Linked DNA regions of Nothobranchius furzeri. The protein of the gene in region 3 binds, or shares a complex with, the protein of the main gene of each other region. Links are inferred from orthologs where the notes say so. Each region holds a gene or a part of one and is shown on either strand. Other genes may lie near its edges. The genes, in order: lsm6, lsm8, prpf4, ppih, prpf31, lsm5 and prpf8.

What was found.
Region 1: prpf4 (region 3) and lsm6 share a complex: the UniProt entries of both Homo sapiens proteins name them as parts of the precatalytic spliceosome. The link is inferred for Nothobranchius furzeri from reciprocal best matches to the Homo sapiens genes PRPF4 and LSM6.
Region 2: prpf4 (region 3) and lsm8 share a complex: the UniProt entries of both Homo sapiens proteins name them as parts of the precatalytic spliceosome. The link is inferred for Nothobranchius furzeri from reciprocal best matches to the Homo sapiens genes PRPF4 and LSM8.
Region 4: the proteins of prpf4 (region 3) and ppih are in contact, whole or in part, in a crystal structure (PDB 1MZW), measured with the Homo sapiens proteins. The link is inferred for Nothobranchius furzeri from reciprocal best matches to the Homo sapiens genes PRPF4 and PPIH. Residues at the interface, in NP_004688.2 of Homo sapiens: Arg113, Gly116, Glu117, Pro118, Ile119, Thr120, Leu121, Phe122, Gly123, Glu124; in NP_006338.1 of Homo sapiens: Phe14, Arg26, Phe46, Cys47, Thr48, Gly49, Pro57, Ile58, Gly59, Tyr60, Lys61, Gln173, Cys174, Gly175, Glu176, Met177.
Region 5: prpf4 (region 3) and prpf31 share a complex: the UniProt entries of both Homo sapiens proteins name them as parts of the U4/U6-U5 tri-snRNP complex. The link is inferred for Nothobranchius furzeri from reciprocal best matches to the Homo sapiens genes PRPF4 and PRPF31.
Region 6: prpf4 (region 3) and lsm5 share a complex: the UniProt entries of both Homo sapiens proteins name them as parts of the precatalytic spliceosome. The link is inferred for Nothobranchius furzeri from reciprocal best matches to the Homo sapiens genes PRPF4 and LSM5.
Region 7: prpf4 (region 3) and prpf8 share a complex: the UniProt entries of both Homo sapiens proteins name them as parts of the U4/U6-U5 tri-snRNP complex. The link is inferred for Nothobranchius furzeri from reciprocal best matches to the Homo sapiens genes PRPF4 and PRPF8.

The regions. Positions count from the first base shown.
Region 1 is NC_091744.1:10,586,904-10,591,199, reverse strand, and holds the start of lsm6 (U6 snRNA-associated Sm-like protein LSm6), read left to right. Parts: upstream 1-1,496; 5' UTR 1,497-1,585; exon of another isoform or gene 1,586-1,626; intron 1,627-1,646; exon of another isoform or gene 1,647-1,751; intron 1,752-1,996; 5' UTR 1,997-2,008; coding exon 2,009-2,102; intron 2,103-2,915; coding exon 2,916-3,029; intron 3,030-3,393; exon of another isoform or gene 3,394-3,508; intron 3,509-4,296. UniProt on the Homo sapiens protein: Plays a role in pre-mRNA splicing as component of the U4/U6-U5 tri-snRNP complex that is involved in spliceosome assembly, and as component of the precatalytic spliceosome (spliceosome B complex).
Region 2 is NC_091741.1:34,219,555-34,223,603, forward strand, and holds lsm8 (LSM8 homolog, U6 small nuclear RNA associated), read right to left. Parts: upstream 2,697-4,049; 5' UTR 2,072-2,696; coding exon 2,041-2,071; intron 1,574-2,040; coding exon 1,533-1,573; intron 1,064-1,532; coding exon 936-1,063; intron 813-935; coding exon 722-812; 3' UTR 501-721; downstream 1-500. UniProt on the Homo sapiens protein: Plays a role in pre-mRNA splicing as component of the U4/U6-U5 tri-snRNP complex that is involved in spliceosome assembly, and as component of the precatalytic spliceosome (spliceosome B complex).
Region 3 is NC_091746.1:69,563,499-69,567,447, reverse strand, and holds the start of prpf4 (U4/U6 small nuclear ribonucleoprotein Prp4), read left to right. Parts: upstream 1-1,149; 5' UTR 1,150-1,287; intron 1,288-3,949. UniProt on the Homo sapiens protein: Plays a role in pre-mRNA splicing as component of the U4/U6-U5 tri-snRNP complex that is involved in spliceosome assembly, and as component of the precatalytic spliceosome (spliceosome B complex).
Region 4 is NC_091755.1:32,545,059-32,548,984, reverse strand, and holds the start of ppih (peptidyl-prolyl cis-trans isomerase H), read left to right. Parts: upstream 1-1,126; 5' UTR 1,127-1,243; coding exon 1,244-1,309; intron 1,310-3,926. UniProt on the Homo sapiens protein: PPIase that catalyzes the cis-trans isomerization of proline imidic peptide bonds in oligopeptides and may therefore assist protein folding. Participates in pre-mRNA splicing.
Region 5 is NC_091745.1:76,602,936-76,605,408, forward strand, and holds the end of prpf31 (U4/U6 small nuclear ribonucleoprotein Prp31), read right to left. Parts: intron 1,117-2,473; coding exon 988-1,116; intron 901-987; coding exon 802-900; intron 727-801; coding exon 613-726; 3' UTR 501-612; downstream 1-500. UniProt on the Homo sapiens protein: Involved in pre-mRNA splicing as component of the spliceosome. Required for the assembly of the U4/U5/U6 tri-snRNP complex, one of the building blocks of the spliceosome.
Region 6 is NC_091747.1:62,679,445-62,683,199, reverse strand, and holds lsm5 (U6 snRNA-associated Sm-like protein LSm5), read right to left. Parts: upstream 2,285-3,755; 5' UTR 2,207-2,284; coding exon 2,161-2,206; intron 1,110-2,160; coding exon 1,014-1,109; intron 927-1,013; coding exon 899-926; intron 828-898; coding exon 755-827; intron 678-754; coding exon 645-677; 3' UTR 501-644; downstream 1-500. Other genes in the region: late secretory pathway protein AVL9 homolog, read left to right, coding at 2,849-2,935. UniProt on the Homo sapiens protein: Plays a role in pre-mRNA splicing as component of the U4/U6-U5 tri-snRNP complex that is involved in spliceosome assembly, and as component of the precatalytic spliceosome (spliceosome B complex).
Region 7 is NC_091753.1:37,704,106-37,707,605, reverse strand, and holds part of prpf8 (pre-mRNA-processing-splicing factor 8), read left to right. Parts: coding exon 1-132; intron 133-219; coding exon 220-339; intron 340-451; coding exon 452-641; intron 642-821; coding exon 822-941; intron 942-1,479; coding exon 1,480-1,614; intron 1,615-1,692; coding exon 1,693-1,822; intron 1,823-1,936; coding exon 1,937-2,133; intron 2,134-2,338; coding exon 2,339-2,545; intron 2,546-3,494; coding exon 3,495-3,500. UniProt on the Homo sapiens protein: Plays a role in pre-mRNA splicing as core component of precatalytic, catalytic and postcatalytic spliceosomal complexes, both of the predominant U2-type spliceosome and the minor U12-type spliceosome.

The DNA.
Region 1 (4,296 bases), on a different chromosome or scaffold from region 3:
CAAGAAGTACTTTATGATTCCACCTTTCACAATCCCCCCTCTGTCTCTCTCTTTTTGTTTCTCTCTTACTTTCTCTCTCAACCTTTCTGTCTCCACTAACACGTACTGGCACATCCTCACGCCCTCTATGCTCTTCTGTTTTTCTCCCCACTATTTCATCCTTGTTTGCCCCCATACACCATTTCTCATGTACCTCCCAAGCTGTGCAGTGTTTGGGTCGTGCTCCCAGCATCCAAGGTTTATATATATATATATATATATATATATATGTGTGTGTGTGTGTGTCTATAATATTTTTTACAAACCCGAAGTTGGTTACTCGTTAGAATAATTAAAAGAATTATTTGTTTTCATACACTTTATTCATAGACTTCTTCACAACTACAAAAAAGTTTTCCATTGGTTCAATAGTTTTTGTGATGTTAACAAATGTTTGTTATAATAAGAAAATATTTCACCAGGCACATGTTTATGTTTATGTTTATGTATTTAGCAGACGCTTTTGTCCAAAGCGACTTACAAGTGATGTGTTTATAAGAATGAAAAGATGTCTTTTTTAAGTGCACATCATAGACTGTACATACTGTGCACATTTTCCCATTTCCCCAAGATTCACTGATTTCCCTCTTTCCTGTTCACTCTCTCTCTCTCTCTCTCTCTCTCTCTCTCTCTCTCTCTCTCTCTCTCTCTCTCTCTCTCTCTCTCTCTCTCTCTCTCTCTCTGTCTCCCCCTCTCCCTCCCTCTCTCTCTCTCTCTCTCTCTCTCTGTCTCCCCCTCTCCCTCTCCCTCTCTCTCTCTCTGTCTCCCTCTCTCTCTCTCTCTCTCTCTCTCTTTCTTTCTCTCTCTCTCTTTGCCTTTTTAATCACAATTGTCTATTTTTGCTTATTTTGAACATATTTTAAATCATTTTTTGAAACCTTTTTTATATTTTATATTTTTGTGAAGTGCCTTGAGATTTTTGTCTTGAGAGGAGCTACAGAAAAGATTGTTTTCTTTCTTTCTTTCTTTCTTTCTTTCTTTCTTTCTTTCTTTCTTTCTTTCTTTCTTTCTTTCTTTCTTTTAAACGTTTGAACACTTACAGATCAAGAAGAAAGAAAATGTACCTGAAATTGGAATAGGCTTATTTGTGCATATCCCACATTACATTGAGATAAATTTTGAATTTGTAAAAAGAATAGTAAAATAATACAATGAGACATTCACATGAAATATTATGTTTTTACATATTTACAGTAGTTTCTCATTTTCTGTATGAATTTGTTACATAATAGAAATATTACTAATGCTTCAGTTTATTCAAAGTATAACAATGCACAACAAAACAAAAAAACTTTAGTATATTATAATATGAAAGCCAGTGGATATAATATTAATTACAACATATTAGAAATACATTTATAGAAAATAACTTGTTAAAGGAAATGGGTATATCGTATTTTTAAAATGTACTTTTAAATATTCTTGTTTTGTCTATCGAATTAAAACTTTGCGCTTTCAGGACATTTGTCCCTACATAGTTTCCGTAGTCCTCCAATGTGATTGGTCAATGCGCCGAACATAAAATCGTTGTGAGATCGTTCATCCAGTGAGTAACTTGCTAGCTCGGTGTTCGCATCTGTAAAACTAGTAAAACATCTATTTCCTATCTTATTAGGATCTGTTATGATGTAACAATACCTGTACATTGTACTTTATTGTTAAACAATCTCCTACGCTATTAGAGGCTAACGAACTGACCCACGGAATAGCTGGTAGTTAGCACTTAGCTCGCTAGCTACATAGAAGCTCATTTGATAATTTGAACGTTTTAACCGTACATAGTTTTGCATTTAGGCGTGTACTATCTGGCTACAGCTATTCGTTTTAATATTCTCGGGTTTGAATAATGCCTTTGTTACTAGATAATCAATTATAGCTTAAATGTGTATTAGGGTAATGCTAATGCGGTTCTTTATTGTGATAAAATGAGATTTACTCATCTGTTTTATTCTTTTAGATAAAAGCGAAAATGAGTTTGAGAAAGCAGACCCCGAGTGACTTTCTGAAGCAGATAATTGGGAGACCTGTCGTGGTCAAACTGAACTCTGGTGTTGATTACAGAGGTAATGCAGCTGGCATCAGGTGTGGGAATGTTTAGGGTTCTCAGAGTTTGATTAGGTTATGAATCAGAGGGTTTGTTAAGCAGTCATTGATGCATCTTTTTACGCCTTCTGCCTCATGTTTAGTTCTAGACAATGACCCCCTGACAACTACTTTTAATTTTTAATGATCTTTTAATTCATTACAGTTAAGTTCTTTATACAGGCAGACAGGAAGTTGAATGATGTAATCCCATATAGGATTAGAAACTATGAAACAAACACTAACTGAAAAACAGTTAAATTACTGCAGTTAAACTCCAGTTAAATGCTGAGTAATTGGAATAAACTTGAAAAGTTTCGTGAGGACCAAATTTTGCTTTAATCTTCAACAAACTATTTGTGTTTGTGTTGATATTAATTCATTTACCAAGCTAAAGAGAGATTCACACAGGTTACACAGATACATGGAGGAGGAACACTTTTTGACACAACACTCCTACTCAGACATCTTTGTTACAGTTTAAAATGTTCAGTTTTTCAGTATTTGATGTATTTATTTCTTCAGTCAAGACTCAAACTCCATCCCAGTTGCACACCATAATGTGCCACACTTCTGCACTTCAGATGTCTGCCTTTTACACTCACCTAAATAATGATCATTATTAAAATCTGTTTTGATAATTTTTGAATGAATTTGTAATGGTTTATGTTTGCATCAAAATGCATAAAAAACAGTATGCCCCTCTTCCCTAGCTGGCACGTTCAGGTCTGTTGTTGTTTTATTGCCCAGGTAAGTTTATTTTTAATCTGAAGTTTGTGTTTGTCTCTGAGCAGGTGTTTTGGCCTGTCTGGATGGTTACATGAACATCGCAATAGAGCAGACGGAGGAGTATGTCAATGGACAACTCAAAAACAAGTATGGAGATGCCTTTTTGAGAGGAAATAATGGTAAGATTTGATGTTTTCACGCTGCAGGGCGTTATACAACACCGTTTTCCTCTGTTACTATAGCTCCAAGTCATATTTAATGATTAAACATTCCAGGTTATGAAGGCTGTACATTTGCCATGATCTGAGTCTTTGGTGCAGTCAACTTCCTAGCCTCATTCTTATTAGCTCACAGAGACAACATTATTACACTGTGTGCTCTAATAGATCTTTCAGTTGTTTAGGTTTTTTTTTTCAATCCAAAGTGATTAGAGATTTAAATTTGTTGACAATTTTTAAATGAAACTTTCAAAGTCATGCACCACAAGATGTTTATTTTCATTTTCTCATTAAGCATTTTTGCACCTCAAACCTATCTTTATAGGAAAACCACAAGATATTCCCTTTTAAAGTTGGGAAACTAACCATGTCGGAGTTATACAGGAAGCTCACTTCCGATGAAAACATCGAGCCCCTTTGTTGCTGCTTTGAAAAAACTGGTAAAATGCTACTATTTTACAGCATCGTTTGTTAATTAATTCATTATGTTACATTAGAAATGTACTGATTTAGCTTCTGATGGCAGAAACTGATTTGTGTTGCCTCAAAGTGATACTAATTTTGGGTGATTTTTAAATATAATATGCTGTTTGAATTTAAATATTAAATAGAATATTTTGGAAGTGTAAACTTCTACATTAATAGGGTTAATAAGTAGGGTTAGGGAATATTTTGATACCTGTGTGATTTTTGTGGTGCCTCTCTAGACTGAGCAGATACAGCTGCGACTGACTACTAGGGATGCACCGATGGATCGGCATTTGATCCCAACTGGCCGATAGCGCCCCTATCGGTTTTGATCGGAGTTTTCAAAATGGATCAAAGCAGACCGATCAGGTAGGGTTGTCACGGTAACCGGTGTAGCAGTAAACCCCGGTAAAATAAAAAAAAGTTGACAATAATAATAACCGTCCGTTTTTAAAAAAACTATATTATCTCGGTGGTTTACCGTGGCTGCGGTGTAGGCGCGGTGACCCTTACCAGCCACCGTATCATCTGTTGAAGTTGCCAGCGGCACATGCGCACTTTGTTGTTTACAACCAAAACTTTCTTGAAGCTAAAGCTGAAATAATGGCCAAAGGAGGAAACGGCAGCGCGCAGGACATTTATTATACCTCAAAGAAAACAAAGTGGGAAGTACGGGCATTTTTTGAATATTTGAAGAATGCCGAGGGACAGTTTATAGAAGACGGCTATCCTGTTTGCAGCACGTGCAGAAAAAGTGTCT
Region 2 (4,049 bases), on a different chromosome or scaffold from region 3:
TTTATTGTGTGGATGTGCATGTTGTGTTTACTTGTCCAAGGCAATTCAATTTCCCCCTTGGGGATTAATAAAGACAACCTTGAACCTTGAACATCGGGGCTCTCCTGATAAATTCCTGCTTGACAAAGCGCTCCCCTCCTCTCCCGGCTCCACGAACGATTCTCAAGTGGATTCAATCGCCTCTAATCCAAGCGAGCATCGGCAGTCAATGCTAACGATTGTCCATAGGCAGCCCCGATTAATCGATGCTAGACAAATGAGAACAGGACAGATCCTCATTCTTCTTCCAGATGGAGAAATAATTACTCATTCATGACTAAAGATATCAGAACTAAAATAGAGACCATGAGCTGTTTGAACAAAGCCGTAGAGTTGGCGCTATTTAATGTTTCTTTGGCAACGATCTTGTTTTTCCACATATTTTATTAAAGTTTCATTGTTTATGTGTTGTTTTCTTGTTCTGCTCCAGAGTCTGGATGTTTAGAGACCGGAGGACTTCATTATAAACAGCTTAACAAATCAGACTTTATTAAAATGATCTCAGACTGACAAAAACATGAAGTAGAAAACAAATCCAACATGTTATTTATAAAAAATACAAACAGAAACAGAACAATCGAGGTTCTGCAGCTTCACCACTCATCACGCCTCCCAGAACACGACAGCAACAGAACTGAGCTGTACTGTGATGGGTTGCCATGGAGACAGCAGGGTTCAAAGGTCAGTGTACAACAGAGTTGAGCGGCTCAGCTCTGATGTTCCCTAAATCCAGCGTGGAGTCGGTCTCCTCATCAATCTCCCCGATCACGGCGCTGGAGCAGAAACACGAGAAACGGTTAGAAGCTGTCCGAGGAGCAGCCGAGCTCCCCGTGCACCGGGACGTCCTTAGGGGTCATCATTTCTCATTTAGTTTTAGTTTGACCGAGGTGACTCACACGTTGTCTCCTCTAACGATGTAGAGGCCCAGCACCACCTGCTCCACCCCCTGGTTGGAGCTGAACACGCGCTCGTGGCTCTCATCCAGGATCAGGTTGATGGTCTGATCAAAGCCCTTCAAAGTGCCCTGAACACCCAAATGATAAATAAATAAATATAAATAAATAAGTACAGCACCTTTCAGTCAGAGGATTCCAAAGCAACTTAATATTATTATTCATCAACACGCTGGTGGTGTTGAGCTACAATGAATCATACTTAAAACAACCAGGCTAATAAAATACTAATAGTTCAGATTACACTTGAACTTTTATTTCAAAATGATTTTCAGTTATCTGCAGTTTTATGCCCCAAAACAGTAAAAATCTGACCATAAAAGTAAAAACGTGTCTGTCAGCATCTGTAGTGATGGGAACAGGACTAGATTTCTGGATTTACAGTCGAGGGAAAAACTAAATCCCCTGTGACCGACACCGGTTTAAATGAGGCTTCGGTTCAGGTGGAGGGGAAATCCTTGTGCTGGAGCCTCAAACATCTAAACACCAGAACCGTATCATCTTCTCTGCTGTCCAGCTGAGCTGAAAACGTGAACTCACCACGATCATCCTCCCGTCTGAGGTGACGATGGCAACAGTTCCTGGATCAGCTGGAGTCAAGGAAACATCATCTGTGCACAACTCATCAGTAAATTACGTCTAGCTTCTCCGTTTTCACCCGAACAACAACGATGGGTGTGCTTCAGTTAAATAACCCGACATCTTAAATCAGAAACAAACTAAATATATTTTATTCACAACCCGTGAAACCGAACTAACGCAGATCAGAACCGTTAATATCTACGTTTTGACGCCATCTGATCATATAAAATTCTATCAGTGATTTTTTTTTATGCAAACACTGATTTGAAATTGAACTGCTACGTAAAAGTTATTCCAGGTATGTTCATTCAGTTCTAAATAAAAATGAGTAGTTTTTTTGTCGCTTTAGCTTTTACCGTCTCTAAACTCCACCTAAACAACAACAAATTACATAAACATCGAAGCTAGCGCGCTAAGCTAACTAGCACTTCTTAAGCATGCAGTTAGCATGCTAGCAGCAAGATACGGTTGATGTAGCTCTCCAGCGCGGTGGACATGCTTCGTCCCGGACTCGGTCTCTATCTGTCCAGCAGAAAAATCGGTAAATCCCTCCAACGGTTGTCTATTTGCGCCGCTGTGTAAAAAAATAAAACGGAAAGAGCATCAAACCGCACCGCACCAAAACACCGGAGACAAGTCAAGACTAATCATACGCCGAATCATCGCGCAGGAAGGGGCGCGGAGGGTCGAGCGGTGACGTTTTTTTTATTCAAATTCCTCCAAATGTTATCATCAAACATTGATCTGGAAAGTTGTTTAAACGTGTGAGTAGGTGATGTCAGAGCTACAACCCTAAAGACAAAATATTGGGTACAGAAATGAAACACACTATAGCCCTATCAGTGGCGCATTTAGCAATTTGGGGCCCAAGGCGAGCACAGACATGGGGCCCCCTTAAAATAAATTTCGGCAATCTTACTTTTAATTGGATTTACAAAACTCTCCCCTCTTCTGCCATGAGTTATTTTCCCTTTTTATTAGTCCTCCTCTTTATTCATGTCTTTCTCTCCCTTTGAGTGCCTCCAATATTTGCTCTGCTTTCTTCTTCCTGTCAGTGCTCCTGAGCTTTTGCCTTTTTTAAATTTATTTTTCATTTTGGTCTACGTTTTCCTCCCTTTAAACATTTTCTATTGTCTTTCCTTTTCTGCTTCCTGATGCTCGAGCATCCGACAGAGGTGGAAAGTAATGAATTACATTTACTCACGTTACTGTAATTGAGTAGCTTTTTTGTATATTTATACTTTTTAAGTCATTTTTAAAATCTGTACTTTTACTTGAGTAAGTTTTTTAAAAAGAATTGTAATTCGCTACATTTTAAATCATATCCGTTACTGAGTAAAAATAAATTATAGGCTTAATAAATTAAAAATATTACGTGAAGCAGCGTCAGAACGGAAAGAGACACCTGCATGAGGACCGCATCTAAACCGGGGGTGTGTGGGGGTGTACACTTTTGCTCAAAGACATCATCAGTTCAGTCGATCAACTCGCTGTTTATCACCTCTCTCCCTCCTCTCCTGTGGTTGGAACCTGCACCTTCGCGCACCAGTGTGACATCATCAGAATTCTGCTCGGTTCGGTAGCGAGACTCGGTTCCGTGTTTGAAATGTGTTTCCCTACCGCTCCGCACGGCAGCGGCAAAATACTGTTTAGTGCTCATAACAAGCGGATTATCAGCGCTTTGCTCATAAACAGAAGAGCTGCAGGCCTCTGTGAGTTAAAACATCATGATACTGTTCAGGTGTAAACATTGTGCTCCATCCCTGTGTTTGAACTCAGAAGTTGCTCCTTGATGCCACAGATATGTGATGATTTAGCTTGTTTCTTTATTTTACTCCAGAATTAGAGATTAAATTATTACTAAAGCAATTCAATGTAGTTAAATTAGTCATGGCGTGCGTGTGTGTGTGTGTGTGTGTGTGTTACACATATAGGACTGCATGAGACAGCGTGGTTTCATCAAATCCATGCATCTCATATCTTGGGTGAAGTAACGGCTCAGGAAAATAACATATATTTCATAAATAATGACGTCTCTGCAGTGTTTATGATAATGTTTTATCTTATCTTTGGTCTGGGAGGTGTAACTTATCATGATACAAGCCTTTTAAAACATGTTAAAGTGTTACAAGAGGAGATAAATGCATGAATTTAAAGTTCATGTTTGGAGGCTCACGCTGGTGAGGAGACACCGTTAGTTCTAGTAACACCTGGGCTCCCAAGGCCTGTTCTGACAGGATGGATGTTACGGGACCCTTAAGGATTCCAGTTGGATGATTGGAGGATTATTTAGGAGGATTGAAATGAACAAACTGATTTCAGTGGTGAAGGGTTAAATGAGTGAGTGAACCCACTGCCAAGGATGAACTCTGCTAGCTTTAAAAATCAGCTGCTCTAAATAAGCATGAAGGTCAGAGAGGATCTCTAGGATGGACATGGATAAAGGAACTGTAATGTAGAGGTAAAGTAGGGCAG
Region 3 (3,949 bases):
CAAGATTTTGTAGTCAGCCCTGAATTTTATCAGCAGCTCAGAACTACATGATGGACAGCAGCAGCTCAGGAGTAGAGCGGGTTGTCCACTAACCCGAAGGTGGCAATTTCGATCCCAGCTTCAGACAGAGAATGCTGCCGTGGTGTCCTTGGGCAAGACCTTTACCTGCTGGTGGTGGTCGGAGGGACCGGTGGCACCAGTGCTTGACAGCCTTGGCCGTCAGTGTGCCCCAGGGCAGCTGTAGCTACATCGTAGCTCATCTCCACCAGCGTGTGAATGGATGAATGATGCACTGTAGTGTAAGGCGCTTTGGAGTCCTCAGGCTCTGAAAGGTGCTACACAAGCGTGGGTCGTTTATCATTCATTTACATGTTTCACTGATCACGCTTCTCACTGCTCAGGTCACTAACAAGCCCTCCAGATGCTTTATCATCTCACTGCAAAGAAAGCATCCAGTAATTCGTCCTAATGTTGGTTCTGCCACTGCTGACAAACCTCCACCTTCACCAGCAGGTGGCACCACCGTGCATTGTGTAGGACCTACTGATAATTCAAGTTAGAAAAATTCACCCAACATCAGAAAACCAGTTTTTCTTAACCTAAAAGGTTTACCAAGCCGGGCACAAGAGTATCGATCAGCTGTGACGATTTGGCGCCACTAGGTTTAGGGTCCTACTGTGGAGGAGATTAAAAATTCACCTAATTAAAGACACATTTATCAAAAAATGTTAGGAGAGCAGGGCAAGTTGATTTATGTGGCAGACCTACAAGAGTTAGCCTGTAGGGGGGGAAAACCGCGTCTAACCCCGCAAGGAAGCCCCGCATGGATGGGGAAAACACGCAACTCTATGAGTTTCGAACCTGCAACCTTCCGGTTAAGGGGGGGCTCTGGGCTCCTGTGCCACCGTCACCCCATCAACGTAAAAGCGTCGCAAGCAGAGGTTTTAAATAACGCAGGTGTTGCGGGTTGACTCCACACAGCGTTATGTTCCAGAACATCCGAAGTTGTTGAGGCGGAAAAGTCGAATCTGTGAACATCATGTCAACTTTACTTCCGTCCACCCGAACCCGTTTGTGTGACGAACCCAGGTGACTTTACCTGACGCACCGAGACTCTCCTTCGTCCTGATCGTCAGCTGTTTGGTTATCTGGCTAACAGGTAGATTGGTTAATTACCCATAAGTCCACGGATCCACCAACCGGAAAAAGAAGCTTTGACCCGGAAGCCAACAGTTTCATATCCGGGTTGCAGTGCTAGGAGACGTTGCGGCTTCGTCTGTTTTTACGGTAAGTTTGAACAACAAAACAAACGAAGCTTTAAAACAGAGAAACACGCTTATGGTCCAAACAGCAGGTGCGCGTGCTCGGCTAGACACGCGTGTCCGTGAGCCGTTAGCTCCGAGTCACGTGCGAACATCAGAACGCTTCTATGGTTTCGTCGTGCGGTCCGTGTGTGTTCTGCACAGCTACGGTTACAGCACCAGTTCACTACTGGTGTGGGTTGCAGCACCAGTTCACTACTGGTGTGGGTTGCAGCACCAGTTCACTACTAACTCACTCATAACATCTATGATAGCTTCCAGGCAGTCAGGTTTTCGTAGAGCTCGTTCTACTGAAACCAGGGCCGTGCAGAGACCTTTGACGGGGCGGGGCTCAAAGTAAAAAAAAAAAAAAAAAAAGGGGGCACTTTTAGATCAATCCAACAAGTTAAAAAAATCTGATAATGAGACCCTTGGGTTCAAACAACATAATAAAAATTTATCAATTAGTGTTAATGTTAGTTAATAAATAATGAACTAACCCTAACCCACCATTGCGTGGGCGATGGTGGCACAGGAGTTAAGATCTCGCCCCGTAATCGGAAGGTTGCAGGTTCGAGCCCCGCTCAGTCTGTCGCTGTCGTTGTGTCCTTGGGCAAGACACTTAACCCACGTTGCCTGCTGGTGGTGGTCGGAGGGACCGGTGGCGCCTGTGCTCAGCAGCCTCGCCTCCGTCAGTGCGCCCCAGGGCAGCTGTGGCTACATCGTAGCTCATCCCCACCAGTGTGTGAATGTGTGTGTGAATGGGTGAATGACTGATTGTGTTGTAAAGCGCCTTGGGGGGTTGCAGGACTCAGAAGGCGCTATATCAAATACAGGCCATTTACCATTAATAGTTTGTCACTGGAGAAACAAGTTATTCAGTTCTTTGGAAGTAAGGGCATTTCTATTGACAGCACCACTATAGCTGCATGCTACACAATTCCTAAAAAAACTGGAAAAAAAAAACAAAACAATAATTCAGTTTGTGAGCAGGAAACATAAAGTTGACTTGTTAAAGGTCGTAAAGAAGCTTAAGGGCACAGGAGTGTATGTAAATGAGCACCTGACAAAGAAGAATGCAGAGATTGCCTGGCAAGCAAGAATTCTGAAGAAGGAGAGGAAAATACAGGATACCTGGATAAGGAACTGTAAAGTAATGATCAAGCTTACTGGACCACCAGAACAGGCTATGGTGGTGAGCATCAAGAGCCTCTCTGAACTGGAAAAACTCAAATGATGAGAAGAAGATGGTATTTAATTCATGGACACAGCAGACTACAAGAAATCAGGAAATAATAGATTTTTTTTTAGGTTTGTCAGTGATGTAGATCATAAAATCTAAAAAAAATATCAAATCTGATAGATAATGGAGTTGACTCAGAAATTAATGGTTGCAGCAACACCCACCTGGACTGTGAATATTATATTGTAGAGGACTTCAAAGTGAGTATGTGTGGATTTTCATTAATACACTTTAACAGCAGAAGTCTCTACAACAATTTATCTAAGATCTCAGATTACCTAAATGAGTTCAAGGAGAAACTTACAGTAGTTGCAATTTCAGATACCTGGATCAAAGATGGAAAAGAGTTATTGAATAAACTGGATGGCTATGAAATGTTTACTCAGAGCAGACAAAACAAAGAGGGGGTGGGGTAGCACTTTTTGTTAGGACTGGTTTTGATTGTACGAAACTAACAAATATGACCTTCATTGTTGAGAATTTGATGGAGTGTCTGACAATTGAAATTAAGTGTAAAAAATCCAGAAACATCATTATAAGTTGTATGTATCGTAGTCCTGGTTCTTCTATAGATCAGTTTAATGAACGTATTGAAACATTATTTGGGCAATGTAGGAACAAAATTGCTTTAATTTGTGGTGATTATAATACTGATATGTTTAAATCAGATGATAATACTAAAATAGCTGAATTTATCAATTTAATGTTTAGTTTAGGTTTCCTTCCGTTGATACTGAGACCAAGCAGGATAACAGCCGTAGTATTACACCGATTGATAATATATTCATAAATCAATCTGACGTCAAGACAAAGAATGGCCTTTTTTAACTGATATTACTGATCATTTACTGGTGTTTACTGTGGTGGAAATGATGAGAAGTGATGAAACATCTCTGGAAAATGTAAATTATACCACAACTAGAAAAAAAACTTCTGTTGCAATTGAAGCTCTGAAATATGAACTGTTTTGCTCTGATTGGACTGATGTTTATGTTGATGATGTTAATAATTCTTATACAGGTGCTGGCCAGTAAATTAGAATATCATCAAAAGGTTGAAAATATTTCAGTAATTCCATTCAAAACGTGAAACTTGTACATTATATTCATGCAATGCACACAGACCAATGTATTTCCGATGTTTATTACGTTTAATTTTGATATTTATAGGTGACAACCAATGAAAACATCAAATCTGGTATCTCAGAAAATTAGAATATTCTAAAGGCCAATGAAAAAATGTTTGTTTCTCTAATGTTGGCCAACTGAAAAGAATGAACATGAAAAGAATGTGCATGTATAGCACTCAATACTTAGTCGGGGCTCCTTTTGCCTCAATAACTGCAGTAATGCGGCGTGGCATGGACTCGATCAGTCTGTGGCACTGCTCAGGTGTTATGAGAGCC
Region 4 (3,926 bases), on a different chromosome or scaffold from region 3:
AGTATTAGAACAGCTGTCTTTCCTCCGTGTTGGTCTACTTTTGTGTGGCTTTTTCGGATAGTGAAGCACACACGACTCCTCCTACAGACGGTACACAAGGTTCTGTGCCACATTCATTGTACCTCGTAAATTACGACTTTTTGCCATCTAGTCATGGATTTGTTTTGAAAAATAAATAAAAAATACACGAGCACGCGCGCGCACACAAATCTTTATATTAACCTGTTAACATTTTTTGACATTTTGAAAACGAACCATGAAAAGAAATATGAAATAATTAATCAAAAGAACAAGTCGGAGATGTTATTTTGAAAATCTATTTAAAATATTACTCTGATGGCATACCCTGCCCTGCAAAAATAAATAGTTTTCAAGTCTATGAAGTAAAGATAAGTAATTTATACATTTATAGATCTAGATTCAAATACTGAACTTGAAGTTTTGCCATACATCATACAAAACATGTTTGAAGCATTTATATTAGTAAATCTCTATTATAATGAGTTGGAGAAAATTATAATTTTCTGAGCATAATTTAGCCACTAGGAACTATACATTACTCATCTTTCAGTGTATAATAAGATATTTCAAGTGTTTTTATGTTGGAAAATACTGGGTTTTTTTACTTGTCCAACACATCCAAAATTGACCTATTTCTATTTCTTGCGAATTTCCCAAGTCGTGTTTTCAATATTTGACTATTTTTATTTAGTGAAAAAATATGCAGCACAAGGTGGCGCTCTGGTAAAATCATTCTAGAGTGTTCATTCGTGTTCTCCTGGGTTCTCCTGTGCTCTCTTCTTCTAAAGAGGACAGTGGAGTCAAGACGTACATTGCATTTTATTTTGCTCAACTTAATTCTGTTTTTACTATTCACTGAGACTGTATTTTAATATTTAGTTATTTATTTCCAGCTGACCTTTAAATAAAATTTGAAACATTTTAAATTTGCATTTTTGAACTGCTAAACATCAGGAAAAGGTTGGATTTAAGTTATGTGAAATCCTAGTAATAACATAGCTATGGGAAACAAAAGATTTACACCAACATTAGCCAGGGTCTAAAGAAGAAATATATACAATGCATGTCTAGGTTTTTGTCCCTAGTTGCAATTCGTACCTTGTCTCTCGCGAGCCACCATAAGTTTCTTCTGCGCATGCTCTCTATTTTCAAATGGCTAGTATGTAATTTTTTTTGCCGATTTGTAATTTGAAATCTGTGCAAAAGCGGTCAAAACATATCGATGTCTGTTCAAGCGACAAACCCAAACAACCCCATCGTGTTCTTTGACATTACCATCGGAGGGCAGGTCAGTGGAACCCAAAAGTTCTTTTTATTTTACCGAAAACGTGCTGTCAACGTCACCGCGCTCAGTTACTCATCTCAACGCAAAGTCGCCTTTTGATTAAGTTTATGGGAGAGTAAGCAGAATTTTAGGTATTATGTTTAGTTTATTTGTTTCTTATAATAGTAAATCAGTGCTACGTTTAACGTTTTGTTTAAGTAGTGGATATTTATGTGCTTTGAAAGGCGCAGAGAAAACGTTTAACTTGAATAAAAACGAGATTGAGGTTCTTTTTATCTTCCATTTCAACATTCGACAATCAACACCAAGAAGATTTTATAGGTTTGAGAAAGTGGCTCTGCGTGTGCAAGTGCCACCAGTAAGAACTTGGTTGGCTCACCTGCTTTTTAAAGCATGCACCAGGACATTAACAAAACAGCAGATCTGTGTCGATGCTGAACATGTTCATTCAACATAGCAGACACTGCATGCAAATGGATACTTCTCATATACTTACAAAGTACCCCTGACCACTGATTATAAAGCAAAGTTTGAAATAATCGTATTAATAATTTCAAACTAATGTGAGTTATTTTCAATAATGAAAAATCACAAAACCGTTAAAAATGTGTGCAAAATTTTGCAGAATTTCAGGGCAAAGACATGTTTTCACTATTTTTTCTCTGTTAAACGTAGCATTAGGGCGGCGATGCAGTAGGTTGTCCTGTTGACTTTCAGAAAGAAGGCTGCTGGTTTGAATTCCAGCTGTGGCCTTTATGTGTAGAGCATGTTCTCGCTATTTCTGCGTCGGCTTTTCCTGGGCACTCCTGTTTCCTTTGATGGACCAAAACCATGCATGTTCGGTTCATTGGGGGCTCTAGTGGGCCATTCCCATTTGTACCAGGTCGGCCCGGGCCGGGTAGCCCCGGTCGGCCCCAGCCTGGCCCGGTTGATTCCACACATCCTTGCCTTAAGCCCATGTGGGCTGATTCTACCCACCAATCAGAGGCTTGCTCTAATGGAAGGTGTGAATTTGCTGTCAGCAGTGGGTGTGTTGGCCCTGGTCGGCCTGAAGCAAACCCCCTCGAGAAGAGGGCTGAGAATGAGCCTTGGTTGGCCCGGAAAAATACCAGGCCACCCAGATATGTAAACAACCTACCCTACCCGGCCCGGGCCGACCCGGTACAGATGGGAATGGCCCATAACTTGCTTCTGTGTGAGACTGGTTGTGTATTTCTGCATGGAGTGAGAACCCCTGCCTTTCGCTCGGTGACTGCTGGAGATGGACACCAGCTCCCCTGTAAACATACAGGGAAAAAATGGTTCTGAATATGATTGGGTTTGAAATGTAGCTTTAACTCTGTTGAAGTCGTGTTGCAGGATATGATTATGGAATCGGTAAAGTTTTTTATTACAATGACTTCATGTGGACATTTCCCCTCTCTTTGCTTCACTGCAGCTGAAGTCATCAAATGCTCTTCAGTACAAACCTAATCAGGAAACGGCATCTGATTTAGTTTAATTTGAAGAGGATGTTTCACTTCTAAAGCTACAACATGTAGCTGCTTGTCACTGGGAAACTTACACAAATGGCTGTAACTGATCTGAACCCAGAGCAGAAAGCCATAATTAGAAACAATTTGTTATATGTTCTGTAGCAGCCTTACCTTCAGCCTCGTTCAGACCAGGTGACTCCACCCTACTTGGCCAAACAAAATTTAACTTGCAGCAGAATCTCAAACATATGTAGATGTTTCACCTTCAATCTGTTAGAACACTTCTCATTATTCATTGTTAATCATAGTGGATTTCTGCTATAAGGATTTGTCCAGAAGGACTGAAGGTAGGGCTGGGCAATGAAACGATGGCAATAAATATTTCAAAACAACTTTTCCTCGATGGACATGTGAGAGTGGGAAGATAGAACTTCGGTATGAAGAGTAGAGACCCACAGCTCAGTAGCAGCCAGGCGGATGTGCTGCTAACCGCTCATGTTTGTGTATCTGTAGCCTCCTGCTTCAGGTAAAAGTAGAAAAATGAGAGCCCCAAATGGAAAAAAAGAGATGGACACTGTTAATTACGTCGTTGACAATAAAGGACCGAACAGTTCATTCGTGTGGACGTAGTTTGAATAATTCTTTTGCTGCGAAACTAATGACGTTGAGTGGATGATCTAAACAAAGTCTGTGAAACCACAGGAGCTCATGAGCCAGTGCGACCCGCTGGAACAGCAGGATGTAAAACTTGATAATAAGAACCCAAGTCTCCTCCCCTTCCAGTCAGCTCATGGGTCCCTGGAGCAAAGAAAAAATAACCCGCTTTGCCTTACGCCCTGAATCACAATTATGTCATGTAATTTCAGCTTTGTTTGCTTGTAAAAATTCGTAAATAAAATGACTACAAATCAGAAGTCGCATATATGACGTCCCGACAAAATCTTTTCTCCCCAGCGTAGCTGCTACTTATCAGATAGCCAGATTTATGGTGGTTTTCACGTTTCGTTTAATGCTCCTTCTTTGGTCCTGGAAGAAGGATTCTTTGCTAAACTGATCTCCCCCTCTTCTCTGTCTGGGTCAATTATATCAATTTAGTGGGACGAACGTTTGTAGTCCTATATGTATTTTTCCACACAAAACCTGAA
Region 5 (2,473 bases), on a different chromosome or scaffold from region 3:
TGGGGTCGTGTTTCCAGACTTTCCTCGGTGGTCCGAACGGGCGGAGTGTTAAACAAAAATCCAACTTTTCCATTTTTAAGTGTAATAGAGGAAAAAAGAACTGCAGATCTGGATGATGTTAAACTCATGTTTCGGATCAATTTTTGATTTTATTTTAAGGAGGAGGTGTTGAAGGGGGGAAAAAGAAGATGCAAAGTTCTGAGATCTGCCTTTAATACATTATATTTTTGGGGCTTTTAAGGTTTTCAGAGAGGAAGGTCAGCTAAGAAGTCGCAAAAATGTGAATTTCAACCGTTTTCTCATCACAGTTCTGCATGGGAGATGTTATAAAATGGGATTATGAAACAGTTGTAAAATTTCAATAAATACTTTTAAGAAATTACACATGGGTGTGTGGTGGTGTAAGGTCTCGCTGCTCCCAGGGGGATTCGCTCTGCTTACAAGGTGGTTAAACCTAACAGGTCAAAGTTCAGGCGTAAGGTTCTAAAGGTGGCACACGCTTTGGGGTTTCTGTGGTTTATTCACATGAAGAAAATGGTAAAAAAATAAAATAAAAGCGAAGCACAATAGGGGCTAATTTAATGTACATGATGATGTCATCACTGAACACGTTCACATCTTAGCATCCTTTTTGACTTTGAGGAACTCCGCCATGTTGGAGAAATATTTCTGGTTGGCTTCAGCCACCTTCTTCTCTGCAGCCTGCGGGTTCACAATCTCCAGGCCCTGCAGATGAATGAATGAATGAATGAATGAAAAGCAGAAAGTAGAGAACTCTTCCACTGATCATCCGGTTCATACCTGGAGCGGAGTGAAAGCGACGCTGGAGCTGGTTCCCGAGGAACGGTCTCTCACTGTGGATTTTCCGCCATAGGTCATGCTCTGCTTCTGTAACGTCCTCTGTTGTGGTTGACAACAGAGAACAAGGTTCAGATCATGGACTATCAATAATCTGGAGGTGGAGATTAAAATAACGACCGAGTTTACCTGCAGCGACTTGGAGATCCTAGCCTTGGTGGCCTCGTTGACTTGAGCCTGCCGGACTCTGCCGCTGCCGCTCTTGCCCAGCTGACCCAGACTGAAGCCCAGATCCTCCTGATAGGCGTCATCTTCAATCTGCAACATCAACGAGCTCAAATCCTTACGGTCAAATAAGCTTTAAAGTCCTAAAGGGGTCGGAGGTGAGGGGGGGCAGAATGACTCGGGGCTGTTGTCCATGATGTTCAACCTCCCAGAAGAGACCGCACAAGTTGCTGTTTGAGGGAACTAAAATTCTCTGTAAATAGCCAGCTAACTAAAGTTAGCATAAACTGGTTTTAATACATATGTTGTGCTCTCTAGAGACGAATGCTTTGCGAGTCGTTTTCAGCTCTTGGCGCTACCGTTTCAGGAAGAAGTTAGCCCGAGGAGTGAGGGATGGAAAATGACGAGATTCAAAGTCTTCCTCGTTAACGATGATGTCTTACTCCCACAAATAAGTCTGATCGTGTTCTGCCATGTTGTGAGGTCACTAATGCTAACGGGGAAATGCTCAGATTAGAAAATTCCTGACAGATCAACGTCACACCGTTGCTCAACATTCATGGAGTCATCTTAACTCGCAACGGGGAGGGCTGTTGTTGGTTTAGCGTCAAGGAAACAGCAGAGAACGTCTCAGCTAGGGGACGCTAACTGTTAGCATTAACAACTTCACCACACAGCAGAACTCCTCCAGGCTTGTGTTATTTGTGGAGATAAAACATCAACGTTGAAGTTTCAGTAGAAACGTCATGTTGCTGTTAGCCAATCAAAAGGCGAGATGTTTGAACATCATTAATATTAATGAGCAAGATAGAATTCCCGCTATTTTCTGCCTCCTTTCCTCCCAACAAACTTCTACCTCACGAAACGGGAGCGCCAGAACTTTTTATTACCACAAGCATTAATTCACACTTGAGACCACAGCAGAGTTAAAGAAACAATGAGAGAACGACTCATTTAAGAGATACAAGTATAAAAACATTTAGGATGCTTAAAGAACCCCAGATCAAAGTCACTTTTGAAAGAATAAAGTTGAGTAGTTAAAGAGCAAGTCACCCCCTACCAGAGTATTACTCAACTCCCACTTCCTGTTTGAAAAATGCAACAAATGCTGTTTCCTAGCAGAGCGAGAGGGCGGAGCCGCTAGGAAACACACACACACAGGCTCACAACGACACTATGGTACCAGCTAACGTTCTAGGGTACCTCTTAGCCAATAGCGATGGCAGATTTAAATTCAAATGCAGTGCAGAGTTTTTACCTGACAACGGCACAACACTGACAGTTTTAGGCTGGGGACAAACCGGCCGCCGAAGCGCTCACGAAATTCGGCCGCAGCTCACTGCTCCTCAGTTCAGACCAGCCGCTTGTTTCTCCGCTCTGGTCGAGGCGCGCCTCGTAGTTTTTCTTTTAACCACTTAGTGTCCTCCATTTCCTCTCCGCCTTTTCCTCT
Region 6 (3,755 bases), on a different chromosome or scaffold from region 3:
TTTGTCGCTTCTATTTTTCTTCCGTATTTCCTCTTGTTCCGCCATCTCTCACAGCAAGATGAGCGTCAGTAACGTGATACGTCATGAAAACCGAGGGCACCCATTGGCTCATTTCTTCTTCTACGGCTCCACTGGTAGATCAGTGGCTCATTACTGCCACACACTGGCGGCAAATTTAACAGCTTGTAACCGATGTCTGATTGTGGTAAAAAATAGACTTTATGCGGTAAAATATGATTATTAAACAACTAATCGATGACTAAAAAAGTTGTTAACTATTTTAATAATCGATTATAATCGATTAAGTCGATTAGTTGTTTCAGCTCTAGATCGGTTCCACGTTTTTTGTTCATGAGTCAAAAGTGAAACTTCTCATTTAGCTTTACAGTCCAACAAAGACTGGATGCTGGATTTTATCACTGGTTTCTGATGGTAACACTTCATTTTGTCCCAATGTTTGCACTAAATTTACTTTTTATGATAAATAAATGAAACAAGGATGTTTTTCAAACAGATTTATTTGCAACAAAGACATCTTAATTCCCACGTGAGACCTGCTTCTTTTACTAAAAACTGAACAAAGAATGTTACAAAAATATGCTCCAAAAACCTGGAGAGAATAAACAAAAGACACAAAACAGGATTTACACTTCTGGTCCTTCTCCTCCAGGAATGAGCTGCAGGAGAAATGAACCCGACATGAATCATCCAGCTGAGTGATGTTTGAGAGAGACCGAAGCCGTTTGTGTCCTACCATGGTGATGTTGTTTCCATTGAGGAGGATCTGATCCAGTTTGGTTATTCTCCGTCCTTCTGGTGTGATCTCGCTGGAAGAAACACCAGGAGATGAGCAGGATGAATGAGGCAGACACCGGTTAATAAAACAACGTACACTTACAATTCTGTCACATCCTCCAGCACCATGTCTGAAACACACAGTTGAGGACCAAATCTGAACATGTCACCTCTGAATCACGCACTACAGCTGATCAGCAGCTTTTAAGGAAGGATACTGACAAAGTCATCGAACCCCAGCAGGGTGCCGACGATTTCTTTGTCGGTTTTCATGACGATGTGAATTCGAGAGCCGATACATTTGTCCACAAGCTCTGAAAATATAACAGGTTAGGTTATTTTCTACAGTTTTCAGTTTGATTTTAACAATTTTCTAAATAACTAATGTGATGTTTAGCATCTAAAACCAATCAGGACCAACTACTAAAAATCATTTTTTCTTAAGGGAAATACTGTTGAGGTTTGTACTGCACATACACTAATTGGCCAGTAGGTGGCAGAAGAATATGACTAAATCTAACTGAATATATGTCGATGGACGAAATGAATTTTCTTGTCAGTTGTCAACGAAAGTTGTTCACGGGTGTGACTACTTTGAATTTAAATAACACAATAAGTTCAGGAGTATTATTATGACTGCTGCAGCTCAGCTTTTGCTCATGTTCAGACACGGACAGGTGTACAATCAGCACGCCATCCTCATTAAGGCACCCGAGCTGGTTTGACTTTTTCAGGTCATAACTGCTGTAAAATAGGACACAATCACTTCTTTTAGTTTTTAGACTGCCACAAATACTCCTCTGTTAAAATAAATTAGGTAAAAACTCACGCTTGAACACGAAATTATTGCTTTATCTGCAGCTAGCTAAAACCTGCTGGTGTTGCATCGAGATGTGTCCCCCATCTAAACCAGAATCTCCGGGGGTTTTCTTTAAAACTTTTTCTTTAAGCTATAATATGTTTTAAATGGTAAAATGTTCCTTATTTGACTTTTATTAGTAAATTAATGCAAGCAATAAAGATGGCTGAACTAAGCATAACCCCCACGAGTTCCTAAATTTATCAAATACATGCAACTGCTTACTTCACAAATTACACATACTGACAATTAAATCCGTACACCACAGATAATATATTTTAGCAGGAGGAACACAATCCTGTGACTAGAAATCTTGTCAGGAAGCGGGGACACGGTTTACTTCGGTGAAAAGATCTGTACGTAACACCGGCGTGATTTTACCGCTAAAACGGCTCACTTCTGTTTGCTACTCACTAAATTAGAACTGCTTGTTCGGTTCTTATTGAAATGTATCTAAAGGCGAAACTATCTGAAGCAAGAACGGAACAAAATTAGATTTTACGAACCCAGAGGGAGCAATTGTGACGGGTTTGTCGCTTGAGTAGCCGCCATGACTTTCTTCGTGTGACTGCAGCAGTCACAACCAATCGAATCAAGAGCAAATCGAATTCAGGCAAGAATAGACAAACTCTGATTTACTTTGGAATGCTATAGATAAAAAAATATACTTAAATTCCCCCACAAAAAATAATAAATAAAACATCCAAAACAACAATCACTTTAGAGGCAAAAATATTTGAGTATAAGACTTAAGTATGGATTTTGCAGCATGGAGAGTTTATTTGTTTACTTCCTGTTTCTGGTTAAGTTATGCTTGACTGATTTTAGGATTTGATCAAAATCAGATATTCGCAAGAAAATATGTCAGTAGATTCATTGGAAACAGGTTGTTATAAATTGTGTAAATGCGACTTGAACCAGTTTTTCATTTAAAAGCTAATGCTAACAGCTAATCCGTGCTCTGACCCCGATGGATCTGACAGAATCGGTAACGCAAACACGGAAGTGAGGAACAGGGAAACATCTTGTTGAAATCTAGCTGCAGCGCTGTGTGTGTGTGTGTGCGCGCGCGCGTGAGTGTGTGTGCGTGGGAAAGATTCGGGGCTCAAACTAGGCTCCGTTCGCTGTGTTTACATCCGAACCCCCTGAGTTCACAAACGCCACCGGACCTCCAGAACAGAAGACTGAGGGAAAATGGAGTCTCACGGCAGCGAAACTGAAGGGAAGGGGCCGGTGCTACACATCGTGGTTGTTGGATTTCACCATAAAAAAGGCTGTCAGGTACGAACCTGCTTCATGCTAACTGTGGCTAGCTCTGGTATAAAGGTGCATTCCTACTAAAACATTAGAATGGAGGGTTATGGTCCAGCTCACTGCAGGTGAGATGGATTTGATGCAGATGGAAATATTAATTTTAACCGTCTTTGATTTCTAGCTGTTTGTGCGGAGTTATATAACATCTCTTCTGGCTGCCACCTCAGATAATTTTCCAGTTGTTTCCAGCAGCTGCTCACCTGATCCCACATCCGGTTGGATCTCCATACTAATTGATTATCTAATGTTCAGTAACGGTGATGGGCAGAATAGGAAGAAACAACAATAATCAAAGATGCTACAAGCTTTAAAAACTGCATCAGAAATATCTCAGTTCCTCTCAAAAATGTGAAATTCGTTATTTTCCTTTCAGTAACTTGCATTTTGGTATTTTCTAACTGACTCTGAAGCAAAACTTCCTTTTATTTGGTGGCATGATTAAACCCAAGTCCTAAAGTAGTGCATATTTTCAGAACAAATATTTTATTCATACAAACATAAAAAAGAGGCTTTCTTGTGACATCACAGCAGCCACACCTCCCTTTAGCTCAGCCTGCAGGCAAACCACTTTTCTCCCACAAAACCAGATCTGGATGCTTTTTACCTGAGTAACACACTCAGAGCTCAGGTGTGTGTAAACGTGCTAACATGAACTTGGTGCCTTGCTGCTTTCTTGTCTGATGAAAGCAACAGGAAACACACGGTTAGGTAGTGAACGCGTCCCTGAAGCGTTTGGTCTGAGCGGCTCTAATGGATCTTTTAAGATCTGGAAACAGTGATCCTCCTT
Region 7 (3,500 bases), on a different chromosome or scaffold from region 3:
CTTCCTCAAAGAGACGCCTCTCTACACTGACAACACAGCCAATGGCATCGCTCTACTTTGGGCTCCAAGGCCCTTCAACCTCCGCTCTGGCCGCACGAGACGTGCCATCGATATCCCTCTGGTCAAAAACTGGTGAGCGGACAGCCGTCATTTGAAGAGTAAGAATTGTATTTATTTATTTTTGTGCAGTTGTAAAATAAAAGTAATATGTCTTTACAGGTACCGAGAGCATTGCCCTGCAGGACAGCCAGTTAAAGTGCGTGTTTCATACCAAAAACTACTGAAGTATTATGTCCTCAACGCTCTCAAACACAGACCACCCAAGGCTCAGAAGAAGAGGTGACCTTCACTGGATTTCATTTTTATTTCCTGTTCATTTGCTCTAATTTAAAGCTTTCTCTCCTCATTGGTCGTATTATTTGATGAAGTCCCTGCCTCTTTCTTCATACAGGTATCTGTTCCGCTCCTTCAAAGCTACAAAGTTCTTCCAGTCCACCAAGCTGGATTGGGTGGAGGTCGGCCTGCAGGTGTGCAGACAGGGCTACAACATGCTCAATCTGCTAATTCACCGTAAGAACCTCAACTACCTGCATCTGGACTACAACTTTAACCTGAAGCCTGTCAAGACCCTGACCACCAAGGTACAAGCGCCCTGGTGGAGACACTCGCTTGATCTTGTTTCTGCAAAAGAATGAAAGAAATTACTTAAATGTGTAAAAAAGTTTTAAATCTTTTTTTCTTGTTGAATTCCAACATCTATTTTGGTTCAAATATTTATTTTTCCATCTGTTTTAAAAAGCATTTTTGTCGTTGTCCTTCAGGAGCGAAAGAAGTCCAGGTTTGGAAACGCCTTCCACCTGTGCAGAGAAGTTCTGCGTCTCAGCAAGCTGGTGGTGGACAGCCACGTTCAGTACAGACTGGGGAATGTTGATGCCTTCCAGGTTGGTTATCATTTATTTAGCTTTTGTTTCAAGATCTACAAATGCAAGTAACATTTTGTGGATGGTTAGTGTAAAGTTCCTCTGAGGTTTACTTTGCCAATGTCCAAATGTACTTGGAGTATCTAATGGGCCATTCCCATCTGTACCGGGTCGGCCCGGGCCGGGTAGCCCCAGTCGGCCCCAGCCTGGCCCGGTTGATTCCACACATCCTTGTCTTAAGCCCATGTGGGCTGATTCTACCCACCAATCAGAGGCTTGCTCTAATGGAAGGTGTGAATGGGCTGATTCTACCCACCAATCAGAGGCTTGCTCTAATGGAAGGTGTGAATTTGCTGTCAGCAGTGGTCGTGTTGGCCCTGGTCGGCCTGAAGCAGTACCCCTCGGGAAGAGGGCCGAGAATGAGCCTTGGTTGGCCCGGGAAAATTCCAGGCCACCCAGATATGTAAACAACCTACGCTAACCGGCCCAGGCCGACCCGGTACAGGTGGGAATGGGGCTTAACAGAAGAATGAACTTGTGCATTGGTTCTGTGTTGTAGTTGGCTGATGGGCTGCAGTACATCTTCGCCCACGTGGGACAGCTGACTGGGATGTACCGCTACAAGTACAAGCTGATGAGGCAGATCCGGATGTGTAAAGACTTGAAGCATCTTGTCTACTACCGCTTCAACACAGTATGTAAATGTGTATTTGGGTTGTTTGTACTTAAATCATTTCTGGGTGTTAATTTAAAGAAATGTGTTTTTGGCCAGGGTCCTGTTGGCAAAGGTCCAGGTTGTGGGTTCTGGGCTCCGGGATGGAGAGTGTGGCTCTTCTTCATGAGAGGAATCACTCCGCTGCTGGAGAGGTGGCTCGGCAATCTGCTGGCCAGGCAGTTTGAAGGTTTAGCATCATGTTTTTATTTTAACCACAGAGTGATTTTGTTCACACATTCAGAGGTAGTTGGTGAGAGAGATTAAACCGCCTCGCTGAGCTTTCTGTTTGTCGATTCAACAGGACGTCACTCAAAGGGCGTGGCCAAGACCGTAACCAAACAGCGCGTGGAGTCCCACTTTGACCTGGAGCTGCGAGCTGCTGTTATGCACGACATCCTGGACATGATGCCTGAGGGTATCAAACAGAACAAGGCCAGAACCATCTTGCAGCACCTGAGTGAGTCCTGGAGATGCTGGAAAGCAAACATTCCTTGGAAGGTAAGTTTCTTAGTTTCCTTAGACTTAACCACCTTTTCCATTTTGAACAGGCTGTATTTGTTGTGGTTCCTCTAAATGAATGATTAATTTGTTTTTGGTAGTACAACATGTAGGAAAACCTAAAGCCAATTTAAGACTTGCAGGAAAGTAAAAATAATTTCAAAGTCACGCATTTGCATTACAGACGGGCTCTTCTCTCTTTCAGGTGCCCGGTCTCCCGACTCCCATTGAGAACATGATCCTGCGTTACGTGAAGGCCAAAGCCGACTGGTGGACAAACACGGCTCACTACAATCGTGAGCGAATTCGCCGTGGAGCCACTGTGGACAAGACTGTGTGCAAGAAGAACCTGGGCAGACTGACCCGTCTGTACCTGAAAGCTGAGCAGGAGAGGCAGCACAACTATCTGAAGGTAACAGCAGATTTTATATTTTGTTACAGATCTCATCTGTACTCTATATTTACGTGTTGTTCTGCAACGTGAAACAGTAAAATGACCTAAAACAAAACCAAAGCTTTTATTTTGAAGTCCTCTCACAAAGGCACACTTGCATTGGTCAGCTTGACTGTGTGTAACAACCAGAGGAATGAGATGAATGGTCAGGTCAAGTTTATTATATAGCCCATTTCATACTCAACGGTAGCCCAATGTGCTTCACATAGTTAAAACAATCACAGCTTTAAATGTCACATCATGTTATGCATAATAAAACCAAGGAGTACTGATACAGGACATAGTACACAAAAATAAAAGCATACCAAGTAAAAATTTTACTAAAACTTATAAAAGAACAAAGCTGCACAGACTAGTTATAAATACCAAAAACATAGAATAAATTTAACAACACAGGTTAAAAAAAAAAATAAACCAAGTAGACCACAGATAGGTTAATGGAAGGCATCATAAAAAAGTTTGGTTTTTAATCTGGATTTAAAAATGGAAGTGGTGGGAGAGGTTTTTATGTCTTTATGGAAGACGGTTCCAGAGACGGACCACATAGCAGCTAAAGGCAGACTCTCCGTGCTTGGTGCGAGCTCTGGGTTGTACCAATAGGTATTTTTCTGCTGACCTAAGTGATTTAGAAGGGCAGTACTTTTCAAACATCTGCTATATACAGCGGTCCTTGGCTATTTAATGATTTAAAAGCAAGTAAAAGGACTTTAAAAATCAATCCTGTAAGTTACTGGTAGCCAATGCAAAGATTTTAGGATTGGTGTGATGTGATCATTTCTTGGTGTTTCTGTTACTGCTGGCTGTAGCTGCAGTTGGCCCCTCGCTGTTCGGACACTGGTGCATTCAGGTCTAATTAACCCAATCACTGATGTTGTATCTCTCTGAAGTGTGTGTTTTCTACTTCCAGGATGGT